3 linked regions of the Neurospora crassa OR74A genome follow. The protein of the gene in region 3 interacts with the protein of the main gene of each other region in a pairwise test. Links are inferred from orthologs where the notes say so. Each region holds a gene or a part of one and is shown on either strand. Other genes may lie near its edges.

Region 1 (3,935 bases), on a different chromosome or scaffold from region 3:
CCTTCATTTGAATGGCGGTCAATATCGTAGTCTCAATACTGATTGTTCATCTTTCCCTGCTCTCCTCTCCCAACAGTTCCTTACGAACAACCGAACCAACCCAGGTCTTCACAATTCAGTCCATTTCTCCACCCCATCCTTCCAATTAACCCAGCTCTCCTTCGCAACCTTCCACTTCCTCACCACCTACCTGACCGTCTTCCTCCTCTCGCGACCTCCCCTCTCGCTCTTTGTCCTCGCTCCATCTCTCCCCGAGACACTCCCCTCAGCGTGGCCATGTCCCTCGATGTGATCCTTCCTCATTGGCTAATAGCTTTTAATTCTGTAACCTTCTACCAAATCGCTTGGATCTTGCTCACGCCAATCGTGGCGTGACGAATCACGTTCTCTACCACTCCGTCTTACCCGAGAGAGCCATGTTGGCTTTGGTCCCAGCTTGTCGTGTGCGGGGTGTGGATAGTCAGTCATTATGATATCCTATCTTTTACCTCTTTCAACCAAAACCGTACCTGGTTCAGCAACAGATCAAACCCAAAAGCAAGTCGAAATCATAACCCTCTAGGGCATCCTCTTCTCACTTCTCGGCATCCTCGGCTCGTCCCTCTACACCATCTGGATCGCCCACTATCACCGCAACTCGGCGGCATCTCCAGCTTCTCTTGCCGATGATACTGAGCAGAATGGCTGAGATTTCGTTGCTGGGTTAGATATCCAGTGGCTATGCTCAAGGAGGAAGCCAAGAAGGCTGGTCATAAATCGTAGAAAGGGAGAGGAAACCGGCGGTACATGCACAGAAAATAGGTAGTCTTGAAGTACAGTCATAGTGACCTGATGTTGATGAATCATGCCTTCCTCCCAAACCCTTTTGTGAACCGATAACGCCACATACACACTTTGAACAAGACAAATACTCTCCAGTGCCAACAGAGACGATGGCATACTGAAAGAAGGGTATCACCAATACTACTATCATGATCAGCCCCCTTAGAGGTTGAAGCGCGTGCGAACCTTCTCCATCTTGGCCTTCCACTCCCACTTCAAAGCATCCTCTCCTTCGCTGCCAGCCCGACCGATACCCTTATCCACTCTACGAAGCTTGAGAGTGAATCCTATCAAAACAAGTCAGCCACTTTCGGTTCATTCGCCAAAACTTTTGTTTTCCGCGGTAGCAAGACTTACTGGGTCCAATCTCCTGCAAACCAGCACGGATACCCTGCATACCCTCCATCTCCTTGCCCTCCGCAGTAACCACGTTCTTCTCCGTCGTGCGGGCCTCGCGGAAGACGTAGCGGTGGCGGCGAAAGAAGATGTAATCACGCTGGTTGTGCAATGTCACGACCTGGCGACCCGAAAGCTCGGGCCTGGGAGGGAACATGGTGTGCATGGATTTAGCGGCGAGGATACCGAGAGGGGTCTTGAATCCATTGAGGAGAAGCTCGGGCTGTATTTTTTTTTTGGTTGCAATGCTTAGTCTCAATGTCCTGTAATTAATGGACTTGGGGATTAGGATGGACGGCTTACGTAGTGGTTTGTAGGGTTACCGTGGCCAAGGAGAGCCTTTCCAGGCAGGTAGTTCCGGATGGTGTATGTCAACGAAGGACCAGGGGCAACATCTTCGCCGTTGAGATGGATGACGGTCAGGGAGCTAGGCTTCTTGAGATCTTCGCCGACAATCATGAGAATCGTGTATCCACGGTCTGTAACAATTCAGGCCTGTGTTAGCAATTTTCTCTTGGGCAACAAAACTCCAACCTGGGTGCGCTACTCACTCTTGGCAAACTTTGCGATCTCGCGAACACTATACTTGTGTCCATACGCGTGCGCACTGCGTCTGATGTACGTGCTGTTGGGAAAGATGGCAGCAATGTCCTCCGCCTCCTTGTGAATGGTGCCGTTCAAATGGGTGGTGACCAGAATCTTGGGGTCGACTGGGGGTTCCTCGTTGAAGAGATTGGGAAATTGTCGTGTGAGCGAGTCGGGAGTCATGTCTAGATTTGTCGACGTGGTCGAGGGAGCGATGCTGGGTTTCCTCTGCGCACGCTCCTGTCTGAGTCTCTCGATGCGCTCCTCGGCATCTTCGTCGTCGTCGTCACCCTCCTCGTCCGAGTCCAACATAGAATCGGCATCGTCGTCCTTCTCCTCATCCTCCTCCGTGACTCCATCGGCTAGCCTGGCGGCCTCGGCCTCCTCCTTCTCCAAGCGCCTCCTCTTGAGCTCGGCAACATCCACAGCGACGCCCAGGCTGTCGTCGTCAACGTCATCCCACACGCGTTTCCTCTCAATGGTCAAGGGTTGGTTGTTTGCGAGGCGCTCTTCTCTGAGTTTGGGATCCTTGGCCTCCTCCTTCCTCCGGCGGTGACGCTCCTCATGGCGTTCCTTTCCCTGCTCCTTCTTTTGCTTGACGTATAATTGCTTTCTGACAATCTTGTTGGAGGTCTTGAGCGACAGCGATCCGCCGGAGCGGTTTTTGCCCTTGTTACCGGACGGCATATCGGCTACGATGTGGTAACACGGCGGTGGGATTAGTGGTTGTCGCGGTGTCAAAATTGTAGGGTAGGATCAATTCTCCAGGTCACAGTTCAAACTTCGACGTGATGCTGGGCAGTTGTTGCTACCTCTACCTGACGGATGAATTGAACGGGCCCGGTAAACTTTCAACTTTTTTTCTGGGCCCAGAGCCATCAAGGGCGCCAAGACGTGCATCTACAAGGGTACCCCAACAGCTAACGCACGGCCTCAGCCGGGGACAGGTACGTACCGCTACCCCTCAGTGTACACTACTACCTGACTGTCACCTGCACAGGATGACTCCATCCCGTCCCTTGCTGTAAGTTGGGACGGAAGCAGAATTTTTGGGATGAAGAACGGCGGCATCACGGACTCTTGATAATCAAATATCAATACCTCTAGCCGATGAAAAGTCACAATAACGCTAGCCAGCGGAATGCGCTTTCTGTAAGGGAGTTACTTAGGTAGGTAGAGGTAGTGTACAGTAGCATGTGCAGTTCCACTTCCTGATATGGCTGGTGGATTCCAGCGAGTCGAGCCTTCTGTCGCGTACCGCGCCGCCACTGACGGCGGCTCGAGAGCGGGAATCTGGACCGCTGTCCCTTGGCTTAGGTTGTCTGGGTCGTTGGTGCCGGCCCCTCCATGGCGCCCCTCTACCCCCCCAAAGAAAAAAATCATCCCGCGATTCGGTTGAAGTACGTGTTTCAATTGAAAAGGCCTCGACGAAACCTCAGTGGGCGACCGTGACTCACTTGGTTCCCTTGAGCACTGTAACAAGACCAATTCATGCGACCTCTTGCCCGTCTCGCCTCCCTCCGTTCTCCTGTTGCTGGTCAAGCATTCAAATCGACCTTATCCACCCGAGCCGTCGCCAGTCGAACTTCTTGGACCCCGGCGCCCATCCCGCGGATCTCTTCGACTTCGCTCCGATCCTTCTCCCTCTCTACCTCGCACCATCGCTTCCAAGTCTACGTCAAAAAACAAAACACCAAGATGACCTCGACGGCCACCACCCTCAAGGGCCAGCCCCTCGACAAGGGCGCTCTCGAGTCCATGCTGCGCCGCCGCATGTTCTTTGCGCCCTCCTTCGATATCTACGGCGGTGTTGCTGGCCTCTACGACTATGGCCCGCCCGGTTGTGCCCTCCAGGCCAACATCATCGACATCTGGCGCAAGCACTTTGTCCTCGAGGAGGACATGCTCGAGGTTGACTGCACCGCCCTGACCCCCCACGATGTTCTCAAGACCTCCGGCCACGTCGACAAGTTCGCCGACTGGATGTGCAAGGACCCCAAGAACGGCGACATTCTGCGCGCCGACCACTTCGTCGAGGACGTTCTCGAGGCCCGCCTCAAGGGCGACAAGGAGGCTCGCGGCCAGAAGGTAGAGGACAAGGAGGAGGACCCTAAGCGCAAGAAGAAGAAGGC
Region 2 (4,287 bases), on a different chromosome or scaffold from region 3:
CCGTAAGAGCGTTGTCGGCAAGACCGCCCTTGGCAGCCAGAATCGTCACAACCATGTAGCTGGCAATCTGGAGACCGGGAGAGCTCTTCATGACCATGGCATCGCTGAGGACCGGGCCAAGCTGCTGCATGAGAGCGTTGTCGTTCTCGATCTGGATGCTTCTCCTGCCGGAACGGTACTTGTCGAGCAGACCGTTGGTGGCTTCAACCATGACACCACCCCAGAAGGAGATGAGGCCAGGGTATTCCATCTGGTACTTGCAAGAGTCAAGAGTGTACTGGGAGATGGCGGTAAGCAGCTCGGGGCGGTTCGTCGCTTGCTGAACAATGGCGGCGCGAGGGGGCGCGGTCAGAGAGCGGATGTAGGGGTCGAGGAAGCGGTACTCCTTGGGGATGTTGGCGGGCAGGATGGACAACAAGGTCACAAAGGCCGGGATGGTATGGTATGGGAGGAAGGTCGCGATGAGAGCAGCCGTGTTGAACTCATGAACGCGGAACCGGCGGATCAACCACTCGATGGCCTTGATGGTGGGCATGAGACGCAACCTGCTGCCGCACAGGTGGAGGAAGGCCTCGACATGCTTATCGAGGGCGGCATTCTCAGCGGCGCTCATCTGTGTCCTGTCGGCCTCCTGGCTTTGTGGGCTCCATAGCGACTGGGTGAACTTGGTGAAGCGCGAATCAAGGTTGCACAGCTCCTCAAAGCCTTCGAGGCATATCGAGTAGATCTCGGGGTATGTCTGGGTAGCGGCAACGCGGGGCTCGAAGATCAGGGACTTGGAGTGGGCGGCCTTGAGGACCTTGGTGTTGAGGGTCGACCGCGAGTTGGCAGCGATCTGGGCCAACTGGGAGGCCAAAGACGACATGGTTGGGTGTTGGTTTCTACGATTCGGCTTTATGGTTATCGTATGGTACTATCGTCAAGGAGAGTCGACGTCGATATTTCGATCGCGTCGCAAAGTGGGAATTCGATCGGCCTTTCGGCGCGTGGTGGGAGACGGGGAAGAGTGCAGTCTCGATTGTGTATCGTGGGGTAGAGACTGGGATTACGGGAGGTTGGATGTGTGTACAGTGGTCGAGAAAGAGATTAGGTGCCGCGGTCTCTCTTTGCTGCGACGAGGTTGATGTTTTCGGAGAGTGCCCCGTCGGTGGGTTCCTATTTGGATGGATGGAAGGAAAGGGAATTCAAACTTGGAGGAGGAGGTGCGGCCACTCGAAGCTCCAGCGCAAGCAACTGAACTCGACCGCAAAACTCAAAGTGCAGTCAATCGATGGCCGTTCATGGTTCAGCAACTTTTTTTTCCCCAAGCGGTGGGGTCCGATAAGAAAGCTAAACCAACCACATCCCGCCGATAAGACCCCCAGCTTTGGCAGCCAGGGTCCAAAAAGTTTGGAAAATGTTCCTGAGCGGTTCCTCATCTCAGTGAAGAACAAACAATCGATACCCATCCATCTCCACTCCAGAACACCGCTCGCTCCCGTCTCACTTCAGTCTGTCTTCAGCACACATCGATCAGCCGCCCACACTCAGTGTTTCAGGTTCACTTCACATCATCTCACAACCCTCCAACTGCACAGACCATCACCAGCCACCACCATGTCTTCCCATCCTTCCAAGCGGAGGAAGCTGACCGAGGGAGGCCAGTCCTCGGACGGCGCAGCAACCAGCGACGTCAAAATTCAAAAGCAGTTCTTCAAGAGTGCACAGAGCTGGAACCTCGAGGAGGACTATGAGAACCGCCCCAGGAAAGGAAAGAAGAAGAAGGAGAAGAAGGTCGCCGATGCCACGAAACTGCCCATCAGAGTTGCCGAGGGAACCTGGGTGACGCAGGAAGAGGAAGACGCCGAGATTGCGAGCGATGCCGAGTGGTTGGAGAGTGAAGGGGAGGAGGCCCCTGAGGAGGAGGAGGCTCAGCCCGAGCCAGAAGCACCCAAGATTCCCGAGCGTGAACAGATCAGGAGAGCCCAGGAGGAAATGGCCAAGATCGCAACGCAGCTCAATGAAGACCCAGAGGAGCATCCGGGTGCTTTCAAGGCGCTCGCCAAGATTGGAGAGTCGGACCTTCTCGCCATCAAGAAGCTCGCCATTGTTGTCCAGATGACCGTCTACAAGGATGTCATTCCCGGCTACAGGATAAGACCGGCTTCGGAGGATGTTGCCAAAGAGAAGCTGTCCAAGGATGTCAAGCGGCTACGCGTCTATGAACAGGCCATGGTGACCGGCTACTACCAATACATCAAGACCCTTGCTGCCCTCGCCGGTGGATCGATTCGCGACAAGTCCAAGCAGCCCATTTCCAGCATCGCCCTTACCTGCGCCTGCACCCTTTTGAACGCAGTACCGCACTTCAACTTCCGCGGTGAGCTTCTCAAGATTCTCATCAAGAAGCTGAGCTACAGAAATATCGATAAAGACTTTATCAAGTGCCGGACCGCTCTCGAGACCCTGTTTCACGAGGATGAGGATGGTCAACCCGCCATGGAGGCCATTTCAGTACTCACAAAGATGATGAAGGCTCGTAACTACCAGGTTGACGAGAGCATCCTGAACCTGTTCCTCCACCTGCGTTTGCTTAGCGAGTTTTCCGGAAAAGCTTCCAGAGACACGGTGGAGAAGCAGGACGATGGGTCGGTCAAGAAGCCGAAGCAGAAGAAGGAGTTCCGCACCAAGCGTGAGCGCAAGCTTCTTAAGGAGCAGAAGGAGGCTGAAAAGGTCATGGCCCACGCCGACGCAGCTGTGAGCTACGAGGAGCGAGAGCGGATGCAGTCCGAAACGCTCAAGATGGTTTTCGCCTCGTACTTCCGCATCCTCAAGATGCGTATTCCCAACCTCATGGGTGCCTGTCTTGAAGGTCTCGCCAGATACTCCCACCTGATTAACCAGGACTTTTTTGGTGATCTCCTTGAGGCCCTAAAAGACCTGATCCGCTACAGTGAAAAGGACGCCAACAAGGAGGACGAGTCGGACGACGAGAACAAGGAAGAGGAAGAGGATGAAGACGACGAGCACGAATTCGTTCGTGACACCAGCCGCGAAGCCCTCCTCTGCACCGTCACCGCCTTTGCTCTTCTCGAGGGCCAAGACGCCCATAACGCCCGCTCGGACCTTCACCTCGATCTCTCCTTCTTCATCACCCACCTCTTCCAGTCCCTCCTCTCTCTCTCCGTTAACCCGGATCTTGAACTCGGCGCCCAGTCGCTCCAGCTCCAAAACAGCGTGCGCCGCAACAACCGCATCAATTTGCAGACCACCACCGTCCTGCTCGTCAAGTGTCTCAGCGGCATCCTCTTGCCGCCCTGGAACATCCGCTCCGTGGCGCCGCTCCGTCTGGCCGCCTTCACGAAGCAGCTCATGTCCGGATCGCTCCAGGTGCCGGAGAAGTCAGCCCAGGCGCTTCTCGGCTTGCTCGCCGACGTGCTCCACACGCACGGCAGGAAGATCAGCTCGCTCTGGAATACGGAGGAGAGGAAGGGCGACGGCACTTATAAGCCACTTGCGGCGACAGTGGAGGGTAGCAACCCATTCGCGTCGACGGTGTGGGAGGGCGAGCTGTTGAGGAGACATTACTGCCCCAAGGTGAGGGAGAGTGTGAAGGAACTGGAGAAGAGCATCAAAAGTATCAAATAGCTGGTGAAAGGGTGATGTCGGAAGGGATTGTCTTGTTATGTCTACGAGACTCTAGGTGTAGGTTGTTGGAGAGTATACACGTTAGCTTTGGCATAGAATTATTATTGTTGAAACGATTCTGGATATCTACGAGTTTATGGCTGTGAAAGTGATTTCAATGGCGGCTGGCAGACACAAAGCCACCACCATACCAACGGGTACTTTTGTCGACCAAACCCATCATGATCACAGTGGAATGTGGTATTACTTCAGTTTCTTTGGAGATCTAAAAGCAGGCGGTCGCATTTGTTATGTGATAACACTTGGAGAATGAGCCTCCTCCACTGCACCTTCCCAAGACATTTCCAACTTTCAGTTGGCCATCAGCTGTTTTCCCTCCTCGACCTCCATTCAGCCGACCATCCTGACCTTTGCATCATTTTTCTTTTCTTTTCATCTTTTCTATTTTCTGCTCTAGCTCTGTCTCACCGAGTCGGGTCAGACTTGCCGAACCATGGCGGCTGTACATTAAACCGAGGCATGTCCGTAGCTTCCCCTCAGCCTCATGCGAGTTTAATTGGTGAGGTGAAAAATCTTTTGCTGTCTGATGACGATCGTCATATCGATTCATGGAGTGTCTTTCTCATTTCCCTTGTTGGTGTAAGCGTGCGGCTCTCATGT
Region 3 (3,261 bases):
TTGACGAGACGGGTCACGTTCCTCAGCAGCTCGGTAGGCGACTCGTCAAAGTGCTGGTCTTCGCTAAAGTCGATCAGGGCTTCGATCTCGCCCCGGGCCAGGAGTAGCTGCTCACGCCAGGACTCGTACGTCTTGCCCAACACTCCCGAGGTGCCGCGGATGGCGGCCCGCCGCTGCTGCTCGGTTTCCGCGGAGAGAGTGTCGCCGAGCGCTTCGACTTGGGCGAGGTCTAGTCGGTTGTTGAGGAAGGCACGCTTGGTGAACTCGCCTTGCTCGGCGTAGCGGATGGTACTCGATGAAGTGGACTTGGGAATGGCGGAGAGAACGGCCTTGACGGTGGCTGGGCCGCCGTGCACGTGCAGCTCGAGGACGTCCTCGCCTGTGACGGTTTTGGGACCGGGGAAGTACAGGACCAGAGCGTCGGTGTCGAGGACGTTGTTGGCGTTAGCTGCTGATGGTGATGAGACATCGTTGCCGGGTTCGGTGGGCTCGGTCAGGGTGCGCACGGCGGCGTATCTGGGTTTGGGGATGAGTTTGGTGGGACATAGTGAGTTGTAGACCTTTGCTTGGTGTTAGTCATGTCAGGAGCGAGTGAGAATGTTTGGCGTGGGAGGGGTTGTTTACATCAAGACATCCGGGTCCAGAAATACGGATTACGGCTATGCCAGCTCTTCCTGACCCTGATGAAAGGGCATAGATGGTGTCGTTGGTGAGAAAGGGCAGAGTCGAGTCTCTAGGATTCCCACCTTGACCCTTACTCCCAGAGACGGCGTCAAAGGCAGACGCCCTACGGCCAAACTCATGATAGCTTCTTGCTATGCGGATAAGACATGATGTTGGCTGCTGCTGCCATGATCGTAGTGCACAAGAAGTGACTCGAGAGCCTCCCGGTCGGTGGATAGCAGCTCGTCTTATCGCATGGCGGAACATTGACCTCAACCAAAAGACATGAATTCACACAAGTGATGTCTTCAGCGGAGAGATGTCACTGAGAAAGAGATGCCCTGCCGTGGTGAACCTTCCGTCGATGGCAGCTTGAATAAACAGCCCCCCCTGCAACAAGAGCGAGTGCCAAGACCTTTGAGCAGCCACTCTCAAGGTATCGCTGTAAGATGATTGGCTGTAGCCCCAAAGCTGCTGGGATGTCTAGCGATTGCACGGACCACATCGACTGCATCAAAAGTTCAGAAAGATCCATTTCTAAATTTTTATCGGGCAACCGCAGCCACGCCCGTGTCTTCTCCATCTCCTCGTACACACGACCTGCTCCTGCGCCCTTCTTCGAGAAGCTGACCCTTCTTTTTCACCACAACGCCAATTCGAAGATACCCCGACAATTAGAAGGCGGCCAGATCAACCACAGTCAACATGTCTGACGAAATCGTCTGGCAGATCATCAACCGTATGTCGCAGTCTCTCGAAAGTTAAAAGGCCTGCCTGCCCCGCAGTGTCGCTAACCTTCGACCCTACAGAGCAGTTCTGTGCTTTCAAACTCAAGACAACCAAGGGCAACAACTTTTGCAGAAATGAGTACAACGTCAGCGGCTTCTGCAACAGGCAGAGCTGCCCCCTAGCCAACAGCCGTTATGCGACCGTCAGAACCTCGCCCAAGGGCACAATATACCTTTACATCAAGACCGTGCGTATCCGCTCCTTGTGGCAAACCTACCAGATCCCCGGGACCAACTAGCTGACACACCCTTCCCCTTTCTTACAGATTGAGAGAGCCCACATGCCCTCCAAATGGTGGGAAAAGATCAAGTTGTCGCAAAACTACGCCGAAGCCCTCCAGCAAATAGAGGATCGCCTTCAATACTTCCCCAAATTCCTCCTCCACAAGTGCAAGCAGCGCCTCACCCGTCTCGTACAAGTCGCGACCCGCATGCGCAAACTCGCCGCCGAGGAAGACCGTCTCGGCGAGAAGCTGGTGCCCAAGATGGCGCCCAAGGTCAAGCACCGCGAAGAGGCCAGAGAGCGCAAGGCCCTCATTGCCGCCAAGCTGGAGAGGACGATCGAGAGAGAGCTGCTGGAACGTCTCAGGCAAGGAATGTACGGCGACCAGCCCCTCAACTGCTCCGAGTCTGTCTGGAAGAAGGTGCTGCAGGGTCTTGAGAAGGAGGGTGAGGGTACCCGCGACAAGGATCTGGATGAGGGCATCGAGGACGAGGATGAGGAGGACGAGGAGGAGGAAGAGCTCGAGGAGGAGATCGAGGACGGCAATGTCGAGTACGTGTCCGACTTCGAAGAGACCGACGACGAGCTCAATGATATCGAGGATTGGCTCGGCAGCGATGACGAGGACGATGCGGAGGACGACGATGACGAGGATGATGATGACGACGATGAGGGCGACAGCGAGGAGGATACCAAGAAGAAGACAAAGGCTGGCGACAAGAGGAAGAGAGGAAAGGTCACCAAGATGAAGGCACGGAAAAAGAAGGAGATCGAGGTGGAGCACGAGACGGACAGGGAGAAGTTGCTTGCTTTCTAAAAGAGGGACGTGGGAGATTTGTTATCGTGGTTGTTGTTGTTGTTGTTGTTGATGTACTAGATGATGATACCTTGGCATCTGGCAGATTGGTCACCGGTCTTGACATTCTGTCATGTAATGATTGCATGGCTCGTAGAACAAGAGCTCTTTTCATGTTTAACTCTGTTCAATCTGGAGAACTAACCTACTTTGCGGTTCCTGTGATATGTGAGGAGCAAAAGTGCATCCATGCATTACCTCTACCCCGGTCACAGGCTCGCCATGCGGCCCTGTAAAGTCAAGGTTGGTATGTGATTTATAGGTGGGGCAGTGGCTCTTCAGGCCAGGAGGTAACGGTCGCGCAGTGATGAAACGCCCCTTGGAACCCACGCCGCCTTTCGCATCTCTCCTGGCGATCAATCCATCAATTTACCTTCCACGTTCAAAGAAGGCCACGAAAACAAGAAAAGAACTTTGGGAACTTTTGGTTTCCTTCCTATATCGCGGGACACCAATAAACCCTCAATTCCCAACCAAACAACACAACGCCTGTGCCTGACCGACACACCGCGGCTAATTGCAAAAATACCCTTACCCGCAACAACCACCTCAAGGAAGCTTCCCACCGCCCGATCTCGCGATCCGATCAAGGGGTGCTTGCTGGTCGTAGCACCTCGTCACCGACAGAACCAAACCTACCTCACTCTGACTTTCCATTCAACATCACACAATATATCTAGACACCAGATATCTAATTACACTGCACCAACCGAACGTAACCCATCCACAAG

Evidence for each region.
Region 1: the proteins of NCU04150 (region 3) and NCU00404 interact in binary tests that used the Saccharomyces cerevisiae proteins (3 or more experiments, as listed by UniProt). The link is inferred for Neurospora crassa OR74A from reciprocal best matches to the Saccharomyces cerevisiae genes MAK16 and RPF1.
Region 2: the proteins of NCU04150 (region 3) and NCU00337 interact in binary tests that used the Saccharomyces cerevisiae proteins (3 or more experiments, as listed by UniProt). The link is inferred for Neurospora crassa OR74A from reciprocal best matches to the Saccharomyces cerevisiae genes MAK16 and NOC3.

What each region holds. Positions count from the first base shown.
Region 1 is NC_026503.1:3,739,757-3,743,691, forward strand, and holds NCU00404 (RNA processing factor 1), read right to left. Parts: upstream 2,629-3,935; 5' UTR 2,491-2,628; coding exon 1,770-2,490; intron 1,698-1,769; coding exon 1,522-1,697; intron 1,442-1,521; coding exon 1,180-1,441; intron 1,110-1,179; coding exon 985-1,109; 3' UTR 615-984; downstream 1-614. Other genes in the region: NCU00405 (glycyl-tRNA synthetase 1), read left to right, coding at 3,295-3,935. UniProt on the Saccharomyces cerevisiae protein: Essential protein. Required for biogenesis of the 60S ribosomal subunit.
Region 2 is NC_026503.1:3,495,379-3,499,665, forward strand, and holds NCU00337 (nuclear export protein Noc3), read left to right. Parts: upstream 1-1,431; 5' UTR 1,432-1,596; coding exon 1,597-3,627; 3' UTR 3,628-3,757; downstream 3,758-4,287. Other genes in the region: NCU00336 (U3 small nucleolar RNA-associated protein 10), read right to left, coding at 1-865. UniProt on the Saccharomyces cerevisiae protein: Required for synthesis of 60S ribosomal subunits and the transport of pre-ribosomes from the nucleoplasm to the cytoplasm. Also required for initiation of DNA replication.
Region 3 is NC_026505.1:5,007,597-5,010,857, forward strand, and holds NCU04150 (66S preribosome component MAK16), read left to right. Parts: upstream 1-1,221; 5' UTR 1,222-1,368; coding exon 1,369-1,402; intron 1,403-1,472; coding exon 1,473-1,639; intron 1,640-1,717; coding exon 1,718-2,491; 3' UTR 2,492-2,675; downstream 2,676-3,261. Other genes in the region: NCU04149 (mitochondrial GTPase), read right to left, coding at 1-560, 625-930.